Linked DNA regions of Drosophila melanogaster. The gene in region 1 interacts genetically with each later gene. Each region holds a gene or a part of one and is shown on either strand. Other genes may lie near its edges. The genes, in order: SoxN and wor.

Region 1 (6,495 bases):
AACAACGACTTTGACTTATTCCTTTTCTTTGGCCAACTTTTTGCGGTTAAGATTTGCGTTCTTGTTGTTTTTGATGTTATGATGTTGCGTTGTTGTAGGTCAGTTACTGGGGCAGGTTTTGCATTGTTTGCCGGTCTTGCCTTTATTATTGTGCCCGCTTGCCCCAGTGTTTTCGCTCCATTGTCAAATGTTTAGCAATTGGCCATAAATTCATTAAGCCGACGAGCCCACATATCGGCTTTGTTTGCATTATACATTTTTAATGGGTTAGTAGCTCGATTCAAGTGTTTGATGACTTTGCAGGAAATTTGGAGACGATGCTTAAGGAGTTGTACAAAAGAAATTTTGATTGTGCTTTAAAGGGAGAAAATGTATATATATTATTTATCGAGGAAATGCAGTTTTTCATATAATTTGTATTTTATTTATTCAAGAACAAAAATGGTCTTCTATATTATTCGTAGTTTACGGATGCAAAAGTATGTTTTATTTTAGCCACAATGGTATTTTTTTTATTTAACACACAATTTATAATTAATATAACTTTTAGAAAAGCCCATAAATCTTGGTTTTGCTCTTCGAGTGTGCAAAAAATCTTCAATTAATCGACTTCCACCTGCACTGCAAGTTGGTGAGTAGTTCTCACCAGCTGAGAACTGCAATCCAATCACTTTGCACTGCTAAAAGTCGCACAAAAAAAAAGAGCCCAACATTTACTCATGGGCAACCCAAAAAACGGAATACCAGAGTCAGCTGAGGAAAAACGCATTCATCGCGGGGTGGTAAATTAAAGGGGGGTGTCGTGGTGGGGCAGATGGTGCCCTAAGACAATGCCGTAGGACGGGCTGGCTCATGTGGCGGATACGTGATACGTGTAAGCCAAACCGCATCAAAGTTCTGAGATACAACTGCCGACTACCGCGAGAGCAGGATACATTTGCAGCTGCACTTGCTTAATAAATTTTTCCATCTGCCGACTGCCTGCCTACACAATTATTCGTGAGCTACCTTGGCAAACCCATTAGGTTAATAAGAAGCGCAGCGTAAGACGCAGAGTGACTATACATACATATATATATATATATATCTATATTATATATCTTTTTGTATGTACATATAGCAGGGCCAAAAAAAAAAATAAAAAAGGAAACCAGGAAAAACTATGCGCGTGAGACGCGCTCTAACGGCGAAAACGCCGCAAACACTAAGGCCCCTGGGTCCCTGGATCCCTGGACTGGGTTGAGAGTACCCATGGCCCGCTCCAGCTCCCCCCGTCCATAGCGTTTCGGCCATGTTTAAAGCTCGAAATTTATACGAGAAATTCCTTCAGAGTCTCTTTCGGCAGCGGAAAAGCGGCAACAGCGCTTGCCATAAACGCAGAGACGACATTTTTATGGCAGCGTTGAGCGCAACGCGGATCGATATAGTGACGGAACGAGATAAAGATACATTCGTACCGCTCTCACCGTCCTCTGATTGGCGGAGCAGTGTGCGCAAAATCCAACCCAGCCAGCGCTCACCGCACACAGATGCACACATGCACAGCAGCGAGTTTATTTGATTTATTAGCAGGCCAGCCACTCGTATATTCATCTCGCTCCCGCACAGGCGACGGGCAATGGAAATGCCGACGCACACTTGGACAGCAGCGACGCACACACAGCTACTCGCGACTCAAGACCAGTTTTTCCAGCCACCCTGTCTGGCGGACCGCACCGCATTTACCGCCTCCTCGAGCGGCCAGCGGCAGACGGTCTCTCATTCGACTCTCGCATTCGCCGTCGTCAGCACACGCGCACGCAACGTACCGCACGGCAGTCGCAGCACGCCATCAGCAGCAACATCACGCAGCAACATCAACTCGGTTGTTCGCTGTCTCGAATTCGGTTTCGTGTCGTATCGTATCCGTATCGTTTCGCATCGCATCGCATCGGTGGTTCTGGTTCGTGCCTCGTCATCAGCTAGCCAAAAAGCGGTGATACGAAAGAAAGAAAAAAAAGTCATCATACAGCCAGGGAAAAAGCAGCGTAGAACGCACCTCGAACAGGTTTCGCCGTCGTCCGGAGAAACAGAAAGGTGCTCAATTCCGCCCAGTGTGGAGGTATTTTTTCGGTGTTCCCGCTTCTCGCATACGAAAAAAAAAAACAACAACCAAACCAAACCAAATATATTTACAACAAAATCTAATACAAACAACAACAATATTCTGAGGCAATTTCGCGTCGGGTTTTAGCAACAATTTTCAAGTGTTTTACGCCGCCTCTTGTTTGTTTGCTAGCAAACAACATATATGTATATCTGATATTTGTGACTGTGGAAAAAACGCAATTCAAGCTGTTTAGCTACAAATCCAAAGATAGCCGAGCGCCACATTTTTGATACGCGTAAAGATACGAAAAACTACGAAATAAAAACTGCAGCGAAAATCAAAATCTCAAAAATCACAAGTGCAACATGGTTTCCCAAAAAATGTTCAAAATGTCTAACTAAGCAAAGAGTAAACTAAAGCTAAAGAGTAACTGCATCTTAGAGGCGAGTATCCACGGAGAACCAACTTTGAGTCAAATCAGCTTTATCGCACCGAAAACTGGAAGTAATCCCCGCAAGATGCTGACCATGGAATCGGATATGAAAGGCAGCCTGCTGCATGCCACCATGCCGCCGCATCACACAAGTGCCGCGTTGCACGGACATGCGGCATCGCCGTACTCCGCCCTAGCTCCCCTTATGAACCTGGGCCAGTCGCACCTGACCCACTCGCAGCTGAGCCATCACAACCACCATCATCACCACATGAGCGCCCATATCGCGGCCAGCCAGAGTCCCAATCCGCTGAGCTCGCTGCAGTCCTCGATGGCGAACACCCTCAATGGCAGCCAGGTGGGGCAGCAGCAGCAGCAACAGCAGCAGCAGCAGAGCTCCCCGCTGCACAGCTCCAGCGAATTGAGTCCCACCCAGAGCAGCATCGGAAGCCATCACATGACATCGCCGGTCAGCCACCAGCAGCACACGCAACAGCAGCAGCACGGGCAGCAGCAGCATCTGGGCGCGGGATCTGCATTGAGCAGCCTAACTGGAGGATCCAGCAACAACAACAACAACAGCGCCACGGCCAACAAGAACCAACAGCACGCGGATCGTGTGAAGCGGCCTATGAATGCGTTCATGGTTTGGTCACGGGGCCAGCGGAGGAAGATGGCCTCGGACAACCCCAAGATGCACAACTCGGAGATCTCGAAGCGACTGGGCGCCCAGTGGAAGGACCTCTCGGAATCGGAGAAGCGACCGTTCATCGACGAGGCCAAGCGCCTGAGGGCGGTGCACATGAAGGAGCATCCGGACTACAAGTACCGGCCGCGCCGCAAGACTAAAACGCTGACCAAGACCAAGGAGAAGTACCCAATGGGCGGCCTGATGCCCGGACAGACGGTGGGCGGCGGAGCACCGGGTGAGCCGGTGACGCCCACGCGGGTGCAAGGTCAGCCTGGCCAGAACCAGTCGCTAAACGGTAGTGGAGGCAGTGCAGCAGCGGCAGCGGCGGCGGCAGCAGCGGCAGCGCAACAGGCGCGCCAGGATATGTACCAGATGAACGCGCCCAATGGATACATGCCCAATGGCTACATGATGCACGCAGATCCGGCCGGAGCGGCAGCCTATCAGACCTCCTACATGGGCCAGCACTACGCGGCGCAGCGGTACGACATGGGACACATGTACAACAACGGGTATGCGATGTACCAGACGGTGTCCGGCGGACAGACATCGCCGTACGGCAGCAGTCTCCAGCAGCCCGGATCACCGTCGCCGTATGGCGGCAGTAGCTTGCAGCAGCAGCCCGGCAGTCCGACTCCGTACGGCGGAGGTGGAGGCGGTGGCGGTCAGGTTTCCTGCCAGAGCCACAGCCCCAGCGACTCGAGCATCAAGTCCGAACCGGTGTCGCCCAGTCCCAGTGCCATAGCGCTCAACAACAACAACAACATCAACAACAATCACATCATGAAGCGGGAATACAGCTCTGCAGCGGCGGCAGCAGCAGCAGCAGCAGCGGCAGCAGCCGCCGGCGGCGGCGAGCTGAATCACCTGATGAATATGTACCATCTGCCGGATGAGCAGCGCCACCTGCTGCACTATCAGACTGACTCGCCCGATCTGCAGCAGCAGCACCAGTCGATGCAACAGCAGCAGCAGCACCTCCCGCAGCAACACCTTTCGCAGCAGCACCAACAGATCCCGCAGCAACACCATACCATGCAGCAGCAGCAGCAGCAACACCACCTGCAGCATCAGCAATCGCTGAGGGCGATGGCGCCGCTGGCACACATGTGAGAAATGGCCAGCGCCTATGGAGCAGCAGGCTCCAGTGTGAGCGTTTCGCCTCCACTGCCGCCGTACATGCCGACGGCCCCGCAGCAACAGCAGCAGCAGCAACAACAGCAGCAACAGTTGCTCAACGGACGGCCTAGTCCGACGGCATCGGGGTCGTCGGGCGGCCGCTCCTCGGCGCATTCCAGTGGCCATACCGCCGCGCATTCACCCGCCTTGGCAGCCGCCTACCAGCTGACCCCCTCCGCTGCCACCTCCTCCGCCACTTCGGCTGCTGCTGCGGCGGCAACTGCTGCTGCCGTTGCTGCTGCTGCGGCTGCAGGCAGCTCCTTTGCCGCCTCGGCCAGCATGCTGGACATGCAACAGCAGCATCTCGAGGAGCAGCAGCAGCACCACCACCTGCACTACCAGCAGCAGCAACAGCAACACTACCAGCAGCAGCAGCAGCAACAGCAGCAGCTGCAGCACCTCCCGCAGCAGCAGCAACACCAGCTGTACCATCACTATCATCCTGGCCACGAGGCAGCGGTGGCTGCCAGTGCTGGCCTCCTGGATATATCCACATTGTAAATTATTGAAAATATTAACTAAAGCCCTAGGATACGCACACCCACGCCCACAACCACAGCCACACACACACAGACACAATTTTAGCCTTAGTTCTTAAGCAGGTTTAATTCGAATTTCGAAGTGGCAGAGTAACACATGCGCATATAAATAAATGAGAATAGGATTAATGTTTAGTCATTTAAATGATGCATACGCACTGTTGTACCACAATAGTAAGATGACAACTCACTTGCATTCCATACCGTTCTGCTTCGATTTCCCTTGATTTCCCGCTTGTTGCATAGCTAAAACAATTGTGTGATACAAATAAACTGTTGCCAATTACGGGGACAACGGCAACAACAACAAATTCGTTTGGTTTAGCATTTCATTTCCACTCACCTTTTGCTGTACAAAACATTCTCAGACATTAAATGTGCGTTCAATTGAAGGGAGCAACGGGACGCGGAATCAAGCACAAGTTTAGTAGGAGTAAAGGCAGTTGTGGCGAGGCGATGAAAATATTTCAGAAAAGCAAAGAAAAATGTCAAAAAACATTCTATTTTATAAATTCTCTTATGCATTAAGTAATTATAATTATTATCTATTATATAAACAATTTAATTATTAATTATGCTTACAAATACCAGACAAGACAACCATAATTAATTGTAATAAAGCGAAAACAAAATTATTATTATTATTAAAACATAAATCGAATCGAAGGCAAGCATCTACTGCATAATACAAACACAACCAGAGAAAATGTTAGTAAACCTAAAGCAAATTTAGTAAAAACAAACCAAGAAGCAGCGTGCAAACGTGATTGTGAAACATGGCGCAAGGCAGCGAAAACAAACAAATCCAACAAAACATTGCCAAGCACCTGGAAATAATAAAAACAAAATCCACAAAAAATCCACGAAAAAAAAACAAATAAAAGAAAAATCTTTACAAAAACATCTCGCTACATTTTTACTATTTGCCGTCGGCAAAATGGGAGGATCCGTGAATTTTGCATACCGAATCGATATGCAGGTTCAGCAATGTGTCAGATGGCTTAAATTCCAGTTTGGATTTTATAGCTCCCCCCATTTTTAAGTGGGATGCGTAATTCCTTAGACAAAAGCGATTAGAGTAGTAAAAATCAAATGAAATTCACGCATTGTCAACATAAATAAAAATGTCATTAAACAAACCCTGACAAATTAGAACAAAACATGAGATGAGATTCCCATAAAAATGGTATGCCATCTACATTTATAAAATCCAGCCATGGCAATTATTTGGGAACTTCATGTGAATCGCATGCTGCAATCTGGCATTTCAATATTTATTTAAGTGCATTTTGTCAATGAGTAACTGCAATTTTCGTGACCGGAAGGCGACGCTTTGTAGCCAACACCGTCCAAACTAATTCCACCGATCATGCATCAAGGTTGAAATACAATTATTAGGAATTTTGATAATGCGATATATATCATATGCCATATTTTCAGAGCCGCTCACCAGACCCAGATTGTCCAATCACTCGGCTGTCGCGACGGTGAATGGGCCTACAAAACCCGATAATATCCACTTAATATGGCTAATTTATGCTGGCCAAACCATCACATCTGGCCC
Region 2 (4,863 bases), 6.6 Mb from region 1:
AAAAAACCGAAAACAAAATCGATGATTCATCGCTTGGTTTGTTGTTTTGAGTGGATTTCGCCAACTGCAGCAGGCCCACAAAAATACTAGACTGTTGGCGCTTGCCGCCTGCTGCTGTTGTTGATGTTGCTAGTTGCAGTGTTGCTGGTTGACGGTGACGCAGTCGCAGTTGCAGTTGCAATTGCAGCTGCGCCAATTCTCCTCTGGTTTGCCGTTTGCATTTCGGCGCTTTACGTTCAAAACAATTATTATTCTGGCAATTAATTTTGATTTAAGCAGCGATTTTCAATACATTTCTATACATACATATAAACGGCTTCATATGTATAGACTGCTTTCCTAGCTCTTTGTAACCCCCCATCGAGTCTCCCTGACGGTTGAATGTCTCGATTTCTGTGGATTTTCATTTCGAGTGCAGCGATAAATAAACGACACCTACAATGCATATCCGAGATGGCATCTTTTAGATTGCGATGCGATTCGAACCGTTCGTCCGATAGGTAAAGTAATAGAATGAGGGAAATTAATTTGTTTACCTCAACTCAAAAAAACTAAATGTGTTGGTGGTTTCTGTTTTCTTGTGTTTTATTTATTTAAAAAAATTAAAATTAAATACATGCAAGTAAATGGCTACCTTCACCATATTTACAAGGCTTAAATCATAATGTTTAAGGTAAAATAAATTATAAGATTAAATTATAAGTTGGTAGGTATGTCGTATGAATTGGGGCTTAATTATCTGGCACCTTTTTGATTTGTACACGAATGAGTTTTAACAACGAACTATAATACAAGGAATTGTCAACGAAAACAATCTAATGCTAAGCTCTCAACTGCGATATGAGTTTTGGAATAATTTAGCGATAACTCTAAATAAATATTTCTGATAAACTAGAGACCCTAAGAGGCAATAAAATTGCCCTGACTAATTTTTGGCACTGACTTTTCCCTGAATCTGACTTCTGACTTTGGCTAAACTGACTAAGATTAATAAATGGCCGGTGGTTGCATTTGGTATTCCCCGCCCTCCTCCTCTTCACCATTACTGCTGCCCACACTGCCGGCGTAGTAGAGTTGGTGTGGATTGTGTCCCTCCTCGTAGACCTGGAGGTGCTGCTGTAGCTGCTGCTGATCAAAGCCCCCTCCTGACCCACTGGGACCTCCACTCTGCTCAGTCTGGCAACCGCTTTGCAGGTGCTTGGCCAGCAGGGACATACGCGAGAAGGACTTGGTGCAGGTGGGGCACGAGTACTTCTTCACATCCGAATGGGTTTGCATGTGCGCGCGGAGATTTGACCTATCCGCGAAGGCCCGATTGCAGTGTTGGCAACTGAAGGGCTTCTCTCCCGTGTGGGTGCGTATGTGACCCTGGAGGAGCCATGGTCGCGAAAACGCCTTGCCGCAGATGGGACACTTGCAGGGCAGGGTATGCGTGCGAATGTGCATCTTCAGGGCGCCCAAGGACACATAGGTCTTGTCGCAGTTCTTGCAGCTGAAGACCTTCTTCACCTGATTGCCCTCGGCCGACGGACAATGGAACTGCTGGTGCTTAGAGAGTCCCGAGTAGGTGGAGTAGCTCTTTCCGCAATCCTGGCAATGGTATCGCGGCACTCCCACTGGCTTTTGCATGCTCTGTGCTGAGGCTACATTAGCTGCCTGAATCAAAGCCGAAGCTTGATCCGTGCAAAACTCGGTTTGGTCGACTATCGCACCTGATCCTCCAGGCTGGCTTCTAATGATCTTGTACTCGGTGCTTTCGTAGGCGTGCGTTTGTTGATGCTTTACCAATCCTGCATAGGTGGCATAGCACTTGTTGCACTGCTGGCACTGGTAGTACAGATCATTGCTGCTCTTGATCTTCAGCTGGTTGATGTCCTGATTCTCCTGATCCTCTTCCATGTCTATCGGAGGCGGCGCATGTTGCGGAGCCATGTGTTGCATGCTCAGCAAAGCTCTGGCCACATTCTGCAGATTCATGTTTTCGCTCAGCACTCTCCTCTGGGTTACGGATAGGTCCTCCGGTTCGGCCAGTGGAGTCGGGGGTGGATAGAACAACTGGGGTGATGGAATCGGAGGTATCTCCTCTTTGATGTTCTGCATTTTCATACAGTCCTCATACTCGGCTATGCTTTTGAGTAGGTTGTTATTGTAGTTTCGCAGGGGAAATTGTTCCTCATCAGAGGGTTCAGCCTTGATGATGGTTGGGCTAGCATCTCTTGTATATCGAAGAGGCAGATGCTGTTCTGGTTCCGGCTCCGGCTCCATTACTTCCTCCTCAGGTGGCAACTCGAACTCGCCGTAACCCAGGCGAGCAAGACTCTTGGCGATTTCCTCCCGGGTGAAGACATCCGGAAAAGCGCGGGCTATCTCACGGGTTTCCTCCCAAATGCGACGGGCCAACTGCTCCTTGGTCTGATTCATGGCTGCATCGAAGCGGCGCCTCAATTCCGTGGGCACCGGCTGAGGTTCCGGTTCGGATTTAGCCATCCAATGGGGCTCCATAGGCACTGCAGCCGAGGCCACACTCAAGTCCACTGGTCCTTCATCTGTTGAAATCAGCATAAAGTTAAAATATGCCTGTAAATCACTTCCGTAGCCTTAAACCTACCATGACTTAGGTGATCCTCTGGGCTGGACTCCTCCACCATTATCGGACGCTTCTTGAGCGGGCAGCGGCTGTACTTGAGTTTATCCATGGTTGCTATGTTATTATTCCTTATGGTTACTGATCACTGATCTTCGATTTTGTATTTAATACCGATCCTTGAACTTAAATCACTGCTCACTCATTTGCTTTCGCCACACGCGTCTCGATCGCTTGGAGTTCCTTGCTCGAATGATGCAACCCGGCAAGGATCAGTCCGGTTTTATAGACTCCCGATCAACCCCCTGGCAGGATGATCAACCCCCTGGGCAAAAAGGATCTTGGCGTCTACCTACTTCCGATGTCGCCCGGGATTCTGTAAATCCACCCCGAACCACGAGCCAAAAGATCCATTCAGCGATCGAGCCACAGCTGTGCGTTCATTGAACGCAGATACAGCTGCAGATCGGGCAGTCCGGGGGTACCACTGCCATATAGAGAATCGTTGAGAGAGGGAGGGACCTGGAGACGAGAGGAACAAATCTGTGTGTAAAAAGCGAGCACGTGCCACAGGGACTCTCTCCGTTCCACTCGCCGATCGCCACCAGCTGCCTCTCTGGTTCAGCTCGTATTTCCCCTGAATTTCAATGGTATGAGTGAGCGGCAGCTGGTGGCGAGCTTGCTATTGCTATATACCCGATCAAGTTTATTTATAAGCCTCTTTCGGGTCCGCCTCACACGATCGCTTTGTATATAAGCCTAATGGACGTTTGCTCTTCGTGAGCAGGTGAGCATGCTCTTTGGAGCCCCACCAAGAGAAGTTTCGTACCCCACAATTTTCAACTCTCTTCGCTCTTTGGGGCGCTCTTGTTCCAACTGTCAGTCGTCCCACGAACTTAAGAGATAGCTTTCTGTGCTATTCGGAGGATAATTCAGCTGTGTTTTCTTAAGCTTCTTATTATGTTTACTATTCAAATTTTTCTGAGCTGAGCTTAAACGATCACATATTCGGCTGACTTTGCTGATCGGAGAGTGTGAAGATTTTTCAGGGGCTCGACTTAGGAAATTATGCCCAAATATTTAAATACCATAATAATTAAAACGTTCTCAATTAAAATCATTAAGATAGAAGATATTACAATAAAGGTACAGGAAAGTTGTTCTATTTTCTCTTTCAAAGCTTTTCATTTGTTGTATAAAATCGCACGCTGTTACAGAAGAAAAGAAGCACTTAGGATTCCAATTGATCCTTATCGGAGCGATCCTCTCCGGCTGGCAGCTGAGTAGGATCAGCACGTGACATTGGCTCCGCCATTAAATCGAGCCAAGCTACAATGCAATGTACCCACTTAGACGTCCACAAAAATATTAATCACCAGGACAAACAGCGCGCAGATCTAAGGTAAATCAACCTTTCCCAGAGTATTGTTCCGGTTCTCCGCCTCCTCGTGTATCGGTGCACTCGGCAGAAATAACCCCCTAACGGCCATGAAATTTCAATTCCCGATATTAAAGAATCCCGCCATCTGCCAGCGACCTCCAATCCACCCCAAAATGGGCATGTGCCCGGACAGTTACCTGGCTTTATTTTTCCGAACGGAGCTGAGTGCCTTGGAATGCGCCAAAAGAGAGAGGTTCGTGCAAATCTACCTGGCGCAGTGGTCCCACCCCAAAATCCACGGCATCACCAGACAACCTTCGTCGGAATAAAGCCGGTGATGGTGGTGGAATTGCAGTTTTGGACGTTACTTTCTAGCCAACCCCTCGTCGAGCGTCTTGCAAGGAGAGTCGCACCCCCCGATCATCATCTATTCCCACATCTGCCGACTGTGACACGTACCACAAGGAACTGATTTCGTCTTGGAACTGATTATTCCATGCCACGGGTATTTGGCGCCAAAATCCTGTAACGAACTCAGCTGGCCGGGATGTGTTGTGATCCTTGTAACAATAGGAAATGTTCTCTGATGGTACATTGAAAAGTGATTTTTGAATTATAATTAACTGGAATTGAGAAACTATTAATCGGTCTTTGATGCTTCGTTGGCTCATCTTTTATAATGAAATTTTAATTCAGGGTAAGCAAATTATGCCTTCAATACTCTAAGATCAAAAAATCTGATACTGATCTTTTATGAAGTGTTTAAGATTCAAAAAACCTTTAGAGATTGCCATAATTAGAGTGCTAAGTCTCCCGAGTTCTTTAATGTATATTTAAGCATTCTACAATATACAATAATATTCAACAAAAATATTCTGTTTCTGATCGGATTTTCTGC

What was found.
Region 2: of SoxN (region 1) and wor, changing one enhances a phenotype caused by changing the other (phenotypic enhancement), as found in Drosophila melanogaster (one study listed by BioGRID).

Annotation. Positions count from the first base shown.
Region 1 is NT_033779.5:8,823,887-8,830,381, forward strand, and holds SoxN (SoxNeuro), read left to right. Parts: upstream 1-1,758; 5' UTR 1,759-2,607; coding exon 2,608-4,326; coding exon of another isoform or gene 4,327-4,893; 3' UTR 4,894-5,784; downstream 5,785-6,495.
Region 2 is NT_033779.5:15,422,735-15,427,597, forward strand, and holds wor (worniu), read right to left. Parts: upstream 2,847-4,863; 5' UTR 2,697-2,846; coding exon 2,609-2,696; intron 2,547-2,608; coding exon 988-2,546; 3' UTR 563-987; downstream 1-562.